Saccharomyces cerevisiae S288C: one gene and its partner. The protein of the gene in region 1 purifies or fractionates together with the protein of each later gene. This does not show direct contact. Each region holds a gene or a part of one and is shown in the gene's direction. Other genes may lie near its edges.

The links.
Region 2: the proteins of UBX3 (region 1) and TUL1 purify together in Saccharomyces cerevisiae (affinity purification with western blotting; 6 studies listed by BioGRID, with this or other methods). This does not show direct contact.

The regions. Positions count from the first base shown.
Region 1 is NC_001136.10:292,892-299,811, reverse strand, and holds UBX3 (clathrin-mediated endocytosis regulator UBX3), read left to right. Parts: upstream 1-5,052; coding exon 5,053-6,420; downstream 6,421-6,920. Other genes in the region: FG-nucleoporin ASM4, read left to right, coding at 1-1,395; NUR1 (Nur1p), read right to left, coding at 1,538-2,992; RAM1 (protein farnesyltransferase), read left to right, coding at 3,483-4,778; RNA-binding signal recognition particle subunit SRP14, read right to left, coding at 6,591-6,920.
Region 2 is NC_001143.9:369,903-376,021, forward strand, and holds TUL1 (ubiquitin-protein ligase TUL1), read left to right. Parts: upstream 1-1,926; coding exon 1,927-4,203; downstream 4,204-6,119. Other genes in the region: UGP1 (UTP glucose-1-phosphate uridylyltransferase), read left to right, coding at 1-1,488; YKL033W-A (haloacid dehalogenase superfamily protein), read left to right, coding at 4,603-5,313; TTI1 (Tti1p), read left to right, coding at 5,554-6,119. UniProt on the Saccharomyces cerevisiae protein: Catalytic component of the DSC E3 ubiquitin ligase complexes that tag proteins present in Golgi, endosome and vacuole membranes and function in protein homeostasis under non-stress conditions and support a role in protein quality control.

The DNA.
Region 1 (6,920 bases):
CTTTCCAATACTGTAAACGCCAATAACTATAGTAGTAATATCGGTAACAATAGCATCAACAACAACAACATTAAAAACGGCACAAATAACATAAGCCAACATGGCCAAGGGAATAATCCTAGCTGGGTGAATAATCCTAAAAAGAGATTCACTCCTCATACGGTGATAAGAAGGAAGACAACAAAGCAAAATTCTTCTTCTGACATCAACCAGAATGATGATTCATCTTCTATGAACGCTACTATGAGAAATTTCAGTAAGCAAAATCAAGATTCCAAGCATAATGAAAGAAATAAGTCTGCGGCAAATAATGACATCAATTCTCTGTTGTCAAATTTTAACGATATTCCACCCTCCGTTACTTTACAGGATTGGCAACGCGAGGATGAATTCGGTTCTATTCCATCATTAACAACTCAGTTTGTTACCGACAAATACACGGCGAAGAAAACAAATAGGTCAGCTTATGATTCCAAAAATACTCCAAATGTTTTTGATAAAGACTCTTATGTTAGAATAGCAAACATTGAACAGAACCATTTAGATAATAATTACAACACCGCCGAAACAAACAATAAAGTCCATGAAACATCTTCCAAGTCTTCTAGTTTGAGCGCAATTATCGTATTTGGCTATCCTGAATCAATTTCCAATGAATTGATTGAACACTTCTCCCATTTCGGTCATATTATGGAAGACTTTCAAGTATTGCGATTGGGTCGCGGGATTAACCCCAACACCTTCAGAATATTCCATAATCATGATACAGGCTGTGATGAAAACGATTCTACTGTTAATAAATCTATTACTTTAAAAGGCAGAAATAATGAGTCGAATAACAAAAAATATCCAATATTTACTGGTGAAAGTTGGGTCAAACTCACTTATAATTCTCCATCTTCTGCTTTGAGAGCACTGCAGGAAAATGGAACCATATTTCGCGGTTCTTTGATTGGTTGCATCCCATATTCAAAAAATGCGGTGGAGCAATTAGCTGGCTGCAAAATTGATAATGTCGACGACATTGGAGAATTCAACGTTTCTATGTATCAAAATTCCTCCACATCGTCGACATCTAATACACCATCCCCACCAAACGTAATAATAACTGATGGCACTCTTCTGAGGGAAGACGATAATACTCCTGCCGGTCATGCTGGTAATCCAACAAATATTTCAAGTCCAATAGTAGCAAATTCTCCGAATAAGCGGCTGGATGTAATAGATGGCAAATTGCCATTCATGCAAAATGCAGGACCGAATTCGAATATTCCTAATCTGTTGCGAAACCTAGAATCGAAAATGCGTCAGCAAGAAGCGAAATACAGAAATAATGAACCTGCTGGTTTTACGCACAAACTGAGTAATTGGTTATTTGGTTGGAATGACCTATAACAGAAATCGTCCAGCTAATTATTCATGAACATTTACAATACTTCATACATTTATTATTTTGATAACTTTTCAAACAGCATTGTTTTACTTTTGTTTATTGATTTTTACGTAACTGTATATACTTAGACATAATTAAGAAACGTTATCTTTTGTGATAGTTCTTCTTTTTCTTTGGAGAGCGAAGAATGGAATTAATATCATTCTTATTCAATACATTGAACTCTGAGCCTTCAAACCTTTTCTGTCGTGCGCTTAAAGGCGTTTTTCTCAATGGGCTCAGGGATTTCGATGGTCTATTTTGGTCTTGATTCGGCAGGTAAGCTCCGCCCTTCTCTAAATTTTCATTTGACGATGATTGAGCCAAATTGTTATCCAAAACTTTATCCCTATAATATGGGGACATTCTAGGAGAATAATGAAAACCAATGGGATGACTTTGATGGTCAGATACTTGAGAAATGCCTCCATAATCCTTTATTCTGGTTTCACGGGATCCTGGCACACTTTCTGTCATTTTCGGTAATGCCTCAAATTCCCTTTTTTCATAATTATAAACCTCTCTGATTTCTTCGCCACATAGGGAGTGAGTGGTGAATATTCTCGGTGTTTTAGATCTAGTACCCATTGCAGATGATAGAGTATCTATATTGCTGCATTGGTTAATTCGTGCCATTATATGCTTGTCCTCATATTCTTGCAAAGCTGCACTTGATAAAATCAAGTCGTCGTCCACGCTTCTTTGAAATCTCTTAGTTATGATATAATCCAGAATATATTGATGGAATACTATAGCAATTGCTGAAGTAAACGAAACATCAGAAAAGCTTAAAAAAACAATTGCCGTTGGTGAAAAAGACACAAAAAGATTAATCATGAAGTTAGTGGGGATCCATTTTCTTAACTGAAAAAATATCTCATCTTCATTTTGATTAACATGAGGACCGTCATCACGAGATCCTCTGAAAAAATGCTTCAACATAGACCACAAGGACTGCTTATAAATATCTTCATAGTATTCTTTGCTTAGATCCTTCAAGTTGTGTTTAGTGAGGTTTGGGGAGTTGAACTCTTTTTTCAAATGGAAGAGATTGTAAGTCTTAAAGTATCCAAACATGAATTTACAGCTTACGTACAGGTTCAGGGACAGCAGTATGAAAATAGTAAACCTGAAAAGATTATTCAAAAACCTTAAGGTAACAAAATACCAAGATTGAAATGCATAAAATTGATTATTGTTTTGAAAGCTGGATGATATCTCCCATAGATAATCAAACTCTTTTAATTTATTGGATTTAGAAAGATCGAAAGCGCCAGACTTGACGTTTAGTTTGTAATAGTTGGGCTTGATCAAATTGTCCTGCAAGAGTCTTATGATAAAAAAAAGTATTGTTAAAAAATTCCCTAATGGCTTAGCTAGACTTTTAGCATAAGCATCCCAGTTGATCATTTCTAACTTTTCATTTATTACCAACTGCAAGTCTAAAGGAGAAGTAAGTAGCTGATACCACCTCTTCATCCATGCAGATTTTGATTCTCTTTCCTCACCAACTACTTCCGAGTCGTCATATGCTTCATTTATCAAATCATTTGAACCCATTTTACTGCCGAAGGTAAATGTAAAGCTCTCTACTGCACAACAAAGTTTTTTAGGTTGTTCGTTTCACTAACTTCTAAATATTGTCAATCAAACCAGACTTTAAGGAAACTACCACTTGTCCCAACGGCCTCACCCCTTTTAATACGGTGTTAACTTCTTCCTTTATATATTGCAGGGCTATTTTTCCCTCCTTTCGCTATTGAAAGAGATCACTATTCCCGTGCTCTGTTCTGATTAAGTAGGAGGACAAAAACACTTGTAACTTAATCCACCTATTCTTATTATTTCTGGCTAACGTTAGAGGTCTTGAAGCGAAACTGTTTAACATTGTAACTTATTAATCTTTTCGTATAAGCTGTTGCCTGATTAGGAAAGCTTGAAACTGAAACACGCGAAAGTGGCTAGGATAAACCAAGCAAGGGTCCATATCATCGCCGTTCTTATGCAGAAACAACTGCAGTGCTTGTAAAGCTATAGGCAATCAAAGCGTATGCGACAGAGAGTAGGAAGGTCCATAGCTAGGGCTAAATTTATAAATACTGCCTTATTAGGAAGAAAGAGACCAGTTATGGAAAGAGTCGTCGATATAGCGCATGTAGATTCAAGTAAAGCAATCCAACCATTGATGAAGGAACTAGAAACCGACACTACAGAAGCACGATACAAAGTACTACAAAGTGTATTAGAGATATACGATGATGAAAAGAATATAGAACCTGCTCTCACGAAAGAGTTTCACAAAATGTACTTGGATGTCGCTTTTGAGATATCGTTACCTCCACAAATGACAGCACTAGATGCTTCACAACCGTGGATGCTATATTGGATTGCTAACTCATTGAAGGTAATGGACAGAGACTGGCTTTCAGATGACACCAAAAGAAAAATTGTAGATAAGCTCTTTACTATTAGTCCTTCAGGAGGACCCTTTGGTGGAGGTCCTGGCCAATTATCTCATTTGGCCAGCACTTATGCTGCAATTAATGCTCTCTCCCTTTGCGATAACATAGATGGATGCTGGGACAGAATTGATCGAAAAGGAATTTACCAATGGCTGATATCGTTGAAAGAGCCTAATGGAGGATTCAAGACCTGTTTAGAAGTCGGAGAAGTGGATACAAGAGGTATATACTGTGCCTTGAGCATAGCAACCTTATTAAATATTCTTACAGAAGAGCTTACAGAAGGTGTGTTAAACTATTTGAAAAATTGTCAAAATTATGAAGGTGGATTCGGCAGTTGTCCTCACGTAGATGAGGCACACGGAGGCTATACTTTCTGTGCTACAGCTAGTCTAGCAATTTTAAGGTCCATGGACCAAATAAATGTTGAAAAGCTTTTAGAATGGTCTAGTGCTCGTCAATTGCAAGAAGAACGAGGATTTTGCGGAAGGAGCAACAAACTTGTTGACGGTTGCTATAGTTTTTGGGTTGGAGGTTCGGCTGCCATTCTTGAAGCTTTTGGATATGGCCAATGCTTCAACAAACATGCTCTTCGGGACTACATATTGTACTGTTGCCAAGAAAAAGAGCAACCTGGTTTGAGAGATAAACCAGGGGCCCACTCAGACTTTTACCATACAAATTATTGCCTATTAGGACTGGCTGTTGCGGAAAGTTCATACAGTTGCACTCCTAATGATTCTCCACATAATATTAAGTGTACTCCAGACCGCCTAATTGGATCATCGAAACTTACTGATGTCAACCCTGTCTATGGTTTACCAATAGAAAATGTAAGAAAAATTATCCACTACTTTAAATCCAATTTATCTTCTCCAAGTTAACCACATACTATTATATATATGTATTCAATCTCCTTAGCGGTCAGTCTCTTTCCAATTTCTTTCTCTTTACGTTATCATTGTCCTTTATTCGACACTTCGGCGACCGCTTTTAAAACGATAATAACAAAGCGAAATCTTATTGTAACACATCCTTGCTTAATTACATACGAAGCAAAAAGTGAGAGTAAGTTCAAAAACAGCGGGCAATCGTACTCCCAAATTTTGTTGTACCTCATCAATCGGCTTGACTGCGATTTAAACATACCCTTTAAACATGGATATATTTAGGCATACTTTTGGAAATAATGATGATTCCTTTATTCGAATCCCAGGTGCTTTTAGAGAAGAACCACCTGCTGATTTGAATGGAAGGACAGAAGATCAAAACAGCAATACAAATGAACCCACACAGAGCCGGGATGGACGCTTAAAATCAATACTCCATTTTTTATTTCAAGCTCCCCTAATAGTTCTTTATTATTTATTGAATTTCATTGTCCGAAGTTCACGTCTTTTAAAACCTCTATTAAGACTTCACGGATTCTACCAGAGGAAGCACAACCGTTTACTAGACCACAGTTCCCAATTACACCGTCTTTTAGAAAATCTAGAAAACGAAGCTCAAGCTGTAACGTGTTCTGAAGGTAACGGGAATAATGATGATGGCAGCAATACTGACAGTACGAGCAACAATGAGAGCAGTGGGGTCCAGTTTAGTTTTGGTTCTTTATACAACCCTGAAAATGGAACATTTTCCAAAAGCATTATGCAAAATAGTTACACTGAATTATTGGATGCTTGTAGCGAACAAGTGAAATTTGGAGTCATTTATTTACATGACCCATTGTTGGATAATCATATGGATTACGTTAATAAAATATTGTGCTCAGAAGCCTTTGTTAACATGATAAGGAAGTACCAGGTATTACTATGGTATGGTGACGTTACTACATCCGAGGGGTTGCAAGTTTCCAATGCATTAAAAATTAGGCAATATCCCCTACTTGGAATAATTTCTTTAAAGGCTGAGAAAAAAATAGAGTTAATAGCAAGAGTTGAAGGTTCTATTTCTAACTACAAAGCCCAAGATTTGGAGGCCATATTCTCCAAGAATTATTCTCGATTAATTCAATTGCGTCAGCAAAGACAAAATATTGAAATGCAGAGATTAATAAGACAACAACAGGATTCAAGATACCAGGATTCCTTAAGACGTGATCAACAAAGAGAATCAGAAAGATTGGAACAGACCCAAAGAGAACAAATGGAAAGAGAGCACCAAAGAATAGAAAACCAATGGCTATTGTGGAGAAAAAGCCAACTAAAACCCGAACCCTCTTCTGATAAAGATGCAAGCAAAGTTGCGATCAGACTAGAAAATGGGCAGAGATTAGTGAGAAAGTTTGACGCATCTCTACCAACGGAGGAGATATATGCCTTCGTAGAATTACAGTTGCATGACATGTTGAACTCAGAAAACGATACTTTACCCGTATACCAACCTGCTAATTATCAGCACCAGTATAGCTTCAAATTGATCACGCCGGTACCAAGAAGAGAGCTTGATTTATCTACCAAAATATCTGACGTTAGCGGCATATATCCATCAGGAAATATTGTAATGGAACGCCTGGACGAATGAAAGGAATTTCAAAAATAGTCATCTCAAAACGTTTATTCTAAAGTTTAGTTAAATTTATATCTACACAACTTTATGCAATTAATCTTTTATATCTACGTTGCCATCCTTTAATCTACACATCCAAAGATAACAAGAGGCGCACATGCCTTTTGACTCAAGTGTCACGTGCATCAGTTTTTCTTCGCTACCTTGTTTTTCTTTCCTGTCTTACTGATGGTACCGTTCTTACTCTTCTTTTTCTTCTTCTTGATCAAATTCTGCATGCCCCCCTTAAATACAGATGAATACTCTTGCCAAAATTGATCTAACTCACTTGCTTTTACCACTGTTGAGCATTTTGTTTTCTTGTCATGCGAGCCATAAGACATTCTGATTAATAGTGGGTATTCTCTGTCAGATCTTGAGCTAACTGAAATTTCAGAAGCCTTTTTAGATACATCATAGTCAGGATGGTTGGTAGAATCAAATTCAAGATTCCCTTCCACAGGATCGTGTTCTAT
Region 2 (6,119 bases), on another chromosome or scaffold:
AAGCACACCAAAACACATTCCACTTATGCATTCGAGAGCAACACAAACAGCGTTGCTGCCTCACAAATGAGAAACGCCTTAAACAAGTTGGCGGACTCTAGTAAACTTGACGATGCTGCTCGCGCTAAGTTTGAGAACGAACTGGATTCGTTTTTCACGCTTTTCAGGAGATATTTGGTAGAGAAGTCTTCTAGAACCACCTTGGAATGGGACAAGATCAAGTCTCCCAACCCGGATGAAGTGGTTAAGTATGAAATTATTTCTCAGCAGCCCGAGAATGTCTCAAACCTTTCCAAATTGGCTGTTTTGAAGTTGAACGGTGGGCTGGGTACCTCCATGGGCTGCGTTGGCCCTAAATCTGTTATTGAAGTGAGAGAGGGAAACACCTTTTTGGATTTGTCTGTTCGTCAAATTGAATACTTGAACAGACAGTACGATAGCGACGTGCCATTGTTATTGATGAATTCTTTCAACACTGACAAGGATACGGAACACTTGATTAAGAAGTATTCCGCTAACAGAATCAGAATCAGATCTTTCAATCAATCCAGGTTCCCAAGAGTCTACAAGGATTCTTTATTGCCTGTCCCCACCGAATACGATTCTCCACTGGATGCTTGGTATCCACCAGGTCACGGTGATTTGTTTGAATCTTTACACGTATCTGGTGAACTGGATGCCTTAATTGCCCAAGGAAGAGAAATATTATTTGTTTCTAACGGTGACAACTTGGGTGCTACCGTCGACTTAAAAATTTTAAACCACATGATCGAGACTGGTGCCGAATATATAATGGAATTGACTGATAAGACCAGAGCCGATGTTAAAGGTGGTACTTTGATTTCTTACGATGGTCAAGTCCGTTTATTGGAAGTCGCCCAAGTTCCAAAAGAACACATTGACGAATTCAAAAATATCAGAAAGTTTACCAACTTCAACACGAATAACTTATGGATCAATCTGAAAGCAGTAAAGAGGTTGATCGAATCGAGCAATTTGGAGATGGAAATCATTCCAAACCAAAAAACTATAACAAGAGACGGTCATGAAATTAATGTCTTACAATTAGAAACCGCTTGTGGTGCTGCTATCAGGCATTTTGATGGTGCTCACGGTGTTGTCGTTCCAAGATCAAGATTCTTGCCTGTCAAGACCTGTTCCGATTTGTTGCTGGTTAAATCAGATCTATTCCGTCTGGAACACGGTTCTTTGAAGTTAGACCCATCCCGTTTTGGTCCAAACCCATTAATCAAGTTGGGCTCGCATTTCAAAAAGGTTTCTGGTTTTAACGCAAGAATCCCTCACATCCCAAAAATCGTCGAGCTAGATCATTTGACCATCACTGGTAACGTCTTTTTAGGTAAAGATGTCACTTTGAGGGGTACTGTCATCATCGTTTGCTCCGACGGTCATAAAATCGATATTCCAAACGGCTCCATATTGGAAAATGTTGTCGTTACTGGTAATTTGCAAATCTTGGAACATTGAAGGTGCGGCTTGCAATCCCTTTTTTACTTTCAATTCTCCGTTAGGTTATTTATTCTACTACACGCAGTTTTTTTTTTTCAATGGGTTATATATCTCTAATATATACACATTTATATGTTTAGACTTATACAGAAGCAAAAAAAAATGCAAAAGAAGCTTAGTGTTCATAATTCTTCACTCACGTCATGTTATATATTTGTTAAGCGTAGCTTCAGTATATATAGAGATTTTCCTTTGGCGGGGTAAGGGTCTGTGAACTTTAGGGAAATAGAATAAACGTAAGTTAAAGGTGACAAGCTCGGATCGTCATCTTTCAATTATCACCCCAAAAGATATTGTAAAAAAGCAAGTTCAATCTCGTTTGTTACATTTGTCCCGTATTTCTACTAATTCAGGCAAAAAAGGAAAGTCCTACAGCAAAAGAGGCAAAAGTACAGTATGGAAATCGATGGCAACACTCTGGTGTTCATAATAGTGATCCTTTTCCTATTTTTCTCCTCACCGGGTGGTGATGGTGTGTCTTCTCAATATGAGTTCAATCAACTCCAGAGACTCAAGCAGCAGTTCCGAACAGAGCACAATACGTTCGTCAATATGACATATACAGATAGTTTTCGAAATATTACCGGGCTTAAACTCAGCTACCAAGACATGCTGAATAATCCTCTCCAAAATGCCACTTACCCACTACCAGGAAAAGATTATGATCGATGGTTTCCCAATCAAAACTACATGGTTTTGCCCAACGATGTCATAGAGGCCATAAATACTGAAGTCTGGAATACTTCGAATGATGACGCTTCCAACCTTTTCCCTCCCAATATTACAAGCACCCTGTTAGGTAAAATCGACCTTGTATCAAATAACAAGTACGAAAAGATAAGGATGCCTGTACCCAGATTCTATGAGCCGGCAACTGATTTTTCAGAGGATATTCCTCCTGAAGGTGAGACGTACTGGTCTGAGTGGCCTTCGTATGGCGAACTTCATAATGTGAGTTTTCAGCATGGCGAAATAGCTATTCAAATTTCTCATATGAGCAATCTTCAGGACAATAATAATTACTTAAGGAGAAATTTCATAAATAAGAAAAATGACCGTTGGAAGTTGTTAAATCTTCAGATTGATTTCTCAGATAAGGCTGAAAAGGAAAAGCATTCCATATACTCGAAGGCTGTATATGACATTCAACGTGGTAGAATTCTTTCTATTTCTCAGAGTTCTAAATTTCATTCATTGTTCGCCCTTCCTCATTACATGTCCTTCCAGAATGATTATAATGAGAAAATATTTAATGATGTCAAGGAACTCGTTGATGAATTTTGGAATTTCACGGATTACACAGATGTCATGACCATGAAAGACGTACAGGATGCTTATAATAATGCCAACTTTAAATGTGAGTATTTGATTTTTCTTCAGTTGGAACCATGGAATCAGTACACAAGAGATCAGATCAAGTTAATAGATGATGAATTGAATTGGCCCCTGGGGCGTCCGGCAAATCTGTCTAGTTTACCGCCCATAAATGTTGTCTCTGGATTACTGTATTCTCCAGACTGTGGCGTACGATTAGGGCTTCATAACGTAAAGGGTACACGGTACGAATTAAAAATAATGTCGATCAGAAAACATCTATTGTTCGGTATTGCATTATTTGCAGCCCAGATATACTTATTGCTTACTCAGATGCATCATACAAATACCCCCTCCATGGTCAACAAAATCTCATTCTATTGTTTCTCAATGATAAACTTAGTCGATGGTTCCTTGGCCACTTTGTACTTTGTCGCAGCTAGTGTCGTTCCCGAATTGTACTTACCCCTAGTTATAAGTGCTTTTTCGTGCTTTATCTTGGCATCTATTTTTGAAATACGCTACTTAATTTCAATTTACGCTTCACAGGTTAACGAACAGAATGTTGGGATTATCAACCTCCTGCGTGGTAACACTGGCACATATGATGAGAATAGGCCAAGACCCGCATTCATTCCCGATGAAGGGTCTATCGGTGGCTCGTTATATGGTAGGTTTTTCTTTATGCTAATCATTTTCACGTTTTTAATATTGAGTTCAACTTCATGGCCCCGTCAGCTAAGGATGGTATTTGAGTATATCCTAATCTTCATATTAAACTCATATTGGATCCCTCAAATTTTCCGTAACGCCGTTAAAGGTATTCCTTCAAGAAGAGAAAGAGCAAGATCTAGCATTGGAGGAAATAGAAGTCAAAACAAAATGCCATTATTGTGGAGTTTTGTAATTGGTACAACAATAATTAGAAGCTTGCCCGTTGTGTATGTTTTCACTTACTCCTCTAATGTGTTCAGGCACCATAAAGATGTTCATTTCGTCGTATTTTTATCATTGTGGCTACTGTTTCAAATTAGTATACTGTATTCTCAAGATGTATTGGGATCGCGCTGGTTCTTGCCTAAGCACACAATACCTGATGGATATTCGTATTTCAAGCCCCTTTCAAACGAGTATATATCGGAGCATGGTGGTGGAACTGCTGAACATACCGTTGATTGCGCGATATGTATGTCTGATGTTCCAATTTACATAGAGGAAATTCCAGAAACTCATAAGGTGGATCAGCACTCTTACATGGTAACGCCTTGTAATCACGTATTTCATACTTCGTGTCTAGAAAACTGGATGAATTATAAGTTACAATGTCCTGTGTGTAGGTCACCATTACCTCCGTTGTAGATAGCATCTCTTGATCCTAAGAACTATATACTGTATTTGTATTCAAGATCCAAGATACCGTGACATTTCCTATTTGTCAACCATTGCAATAAGAAATTTTACATGAATAGTGCATTAACTTTTTATTACCACTAAAGTAGTTTTGCTTAAATATACAATAGGCAAACTAGACTTAGGATAATTCACAAGGGTTTTTAGTGTTACCCTTTTTCCGTATGACACATTTTTCGAGGAATTAATTATTGGGAAAATATTGCCGATCAAGATCCATTGAGGTGAATCTAAATCGCTCCAACTCCAAGTTGGGGAATCTTAAGACCGTCACTGCCTTCCAATTACACTGCTTTTGTTTCTTTGACAATAAGAACGCAAAAGTAAATTTCTTTTTTTTAACAAATTATGACACATCCTGTAGCAGTGAAGGCATGTCTATTTGACATGGATGGTCTTCTCATCAACACAGAGGATATTTATACTGAAACTTTAAATGAAACTCTCGCAGAATTTGGTAAGGGACCTTTAACTTGGGATGTGAAGATTAAATTGCAAGGGCTTCCGGGACCGGAAGCAGGAAAAAGGGTGATCGAACACTACAAATTACCAATAACTTTAGATGAGTACGACGAAAGAAATGTTGCATTGCAATCTCTTAAATGGGGTACTTGCGAATTTCTTCCCGGTGCATTGAATTTGTTGAAATACTTAAAGTTAAAGAACATTCCTATTGCATTATGTACGTCTTCGAACAAGACTAAATTTCGCGGCAAAACAAGTCATTTAGAGGAAGGTTTTGATCTTTTCGATACCATTGTCACTGGTGATGATCCAAGAATTGCAAAAGGTAGGGGTAAGCCTTTCCCGGACATTTGGCAGTTGGGTTTAAAGGAATTGAATGAGAAGTTTCATACCGATATTAAGCCCGATGAGTGTATAGTGTTCGAAGATGGTATTCCAGGCGTAAAATCAGCCAAGGCATTTGGTGCACACGTTATTTGGGTCCCCCATCCAGAAGCACATGCTGTTTTGGGGGACACAGAAGCTTTGTTAGCCGGTAAAGGTGAACTATTGTCTTCTTTGGAAAAACTGGAAATGTCCAAATATGGACTGTGAATTTCCAGTATTTACGTAAACAATATATTTGTATATTGCACTAAGTATAAAAAGGGATGATTTGTATTTGATTTATCACACTACTTTATGTGGTGAGCTCAGTTATTTTTGTATAATATACTATAGTACATGTTTGGGTTTTTATCGTTTTATTTCAATCTCATTACAATAAAATATTATAGTGAACATGCACATCGAAAGGAAAGATTGCAATAGCTGGTGTTCAAAAGCTTTGTGCAAATGAATTCAGACACGAATGCATTTAAGGACATAAGAATTTCATGTGTTGAACTTTCTAGGATCGCTTTTTTACCCACCGAATCATTTGATCCAAATTCATTAACGCTATTGGCATGTTTAAAAAAAGTTGAAGAGAAGTTATCAGCATACGAAGACGATTCACTTTCGCCAAAATTTGCAGATTATGTTTTTGTTCCTATCGCGAGTTTATTGAAACAGCCAGCTCTCGGCGAGTCTCAAACAGAATACGTCCTACTAATTATATTTCATCTCTTACGGACATGTTGGTCATCTAATGGTAAATTCTCCGAGCAATTGGGACAACAACTGTTCCCCTTAATCACATTTTTAGTCAGTTCTGATAAAGATAATCAAAAATTAATTACTAGATCAGACGAGTTCAAGTACGCTGGTTGTTTAGTCTTGCATCAGTTTTTCAAATCAGTAAGATCGCAAAGGTACCATAAAGAGTTCTTTTCGAACTCAAAACCTAATTTACTTCCCGCTCTAGGACATTCTGTTACCATTCTGTTGAAAATTCTGGAGCAATCGCCCCAAAATAATGA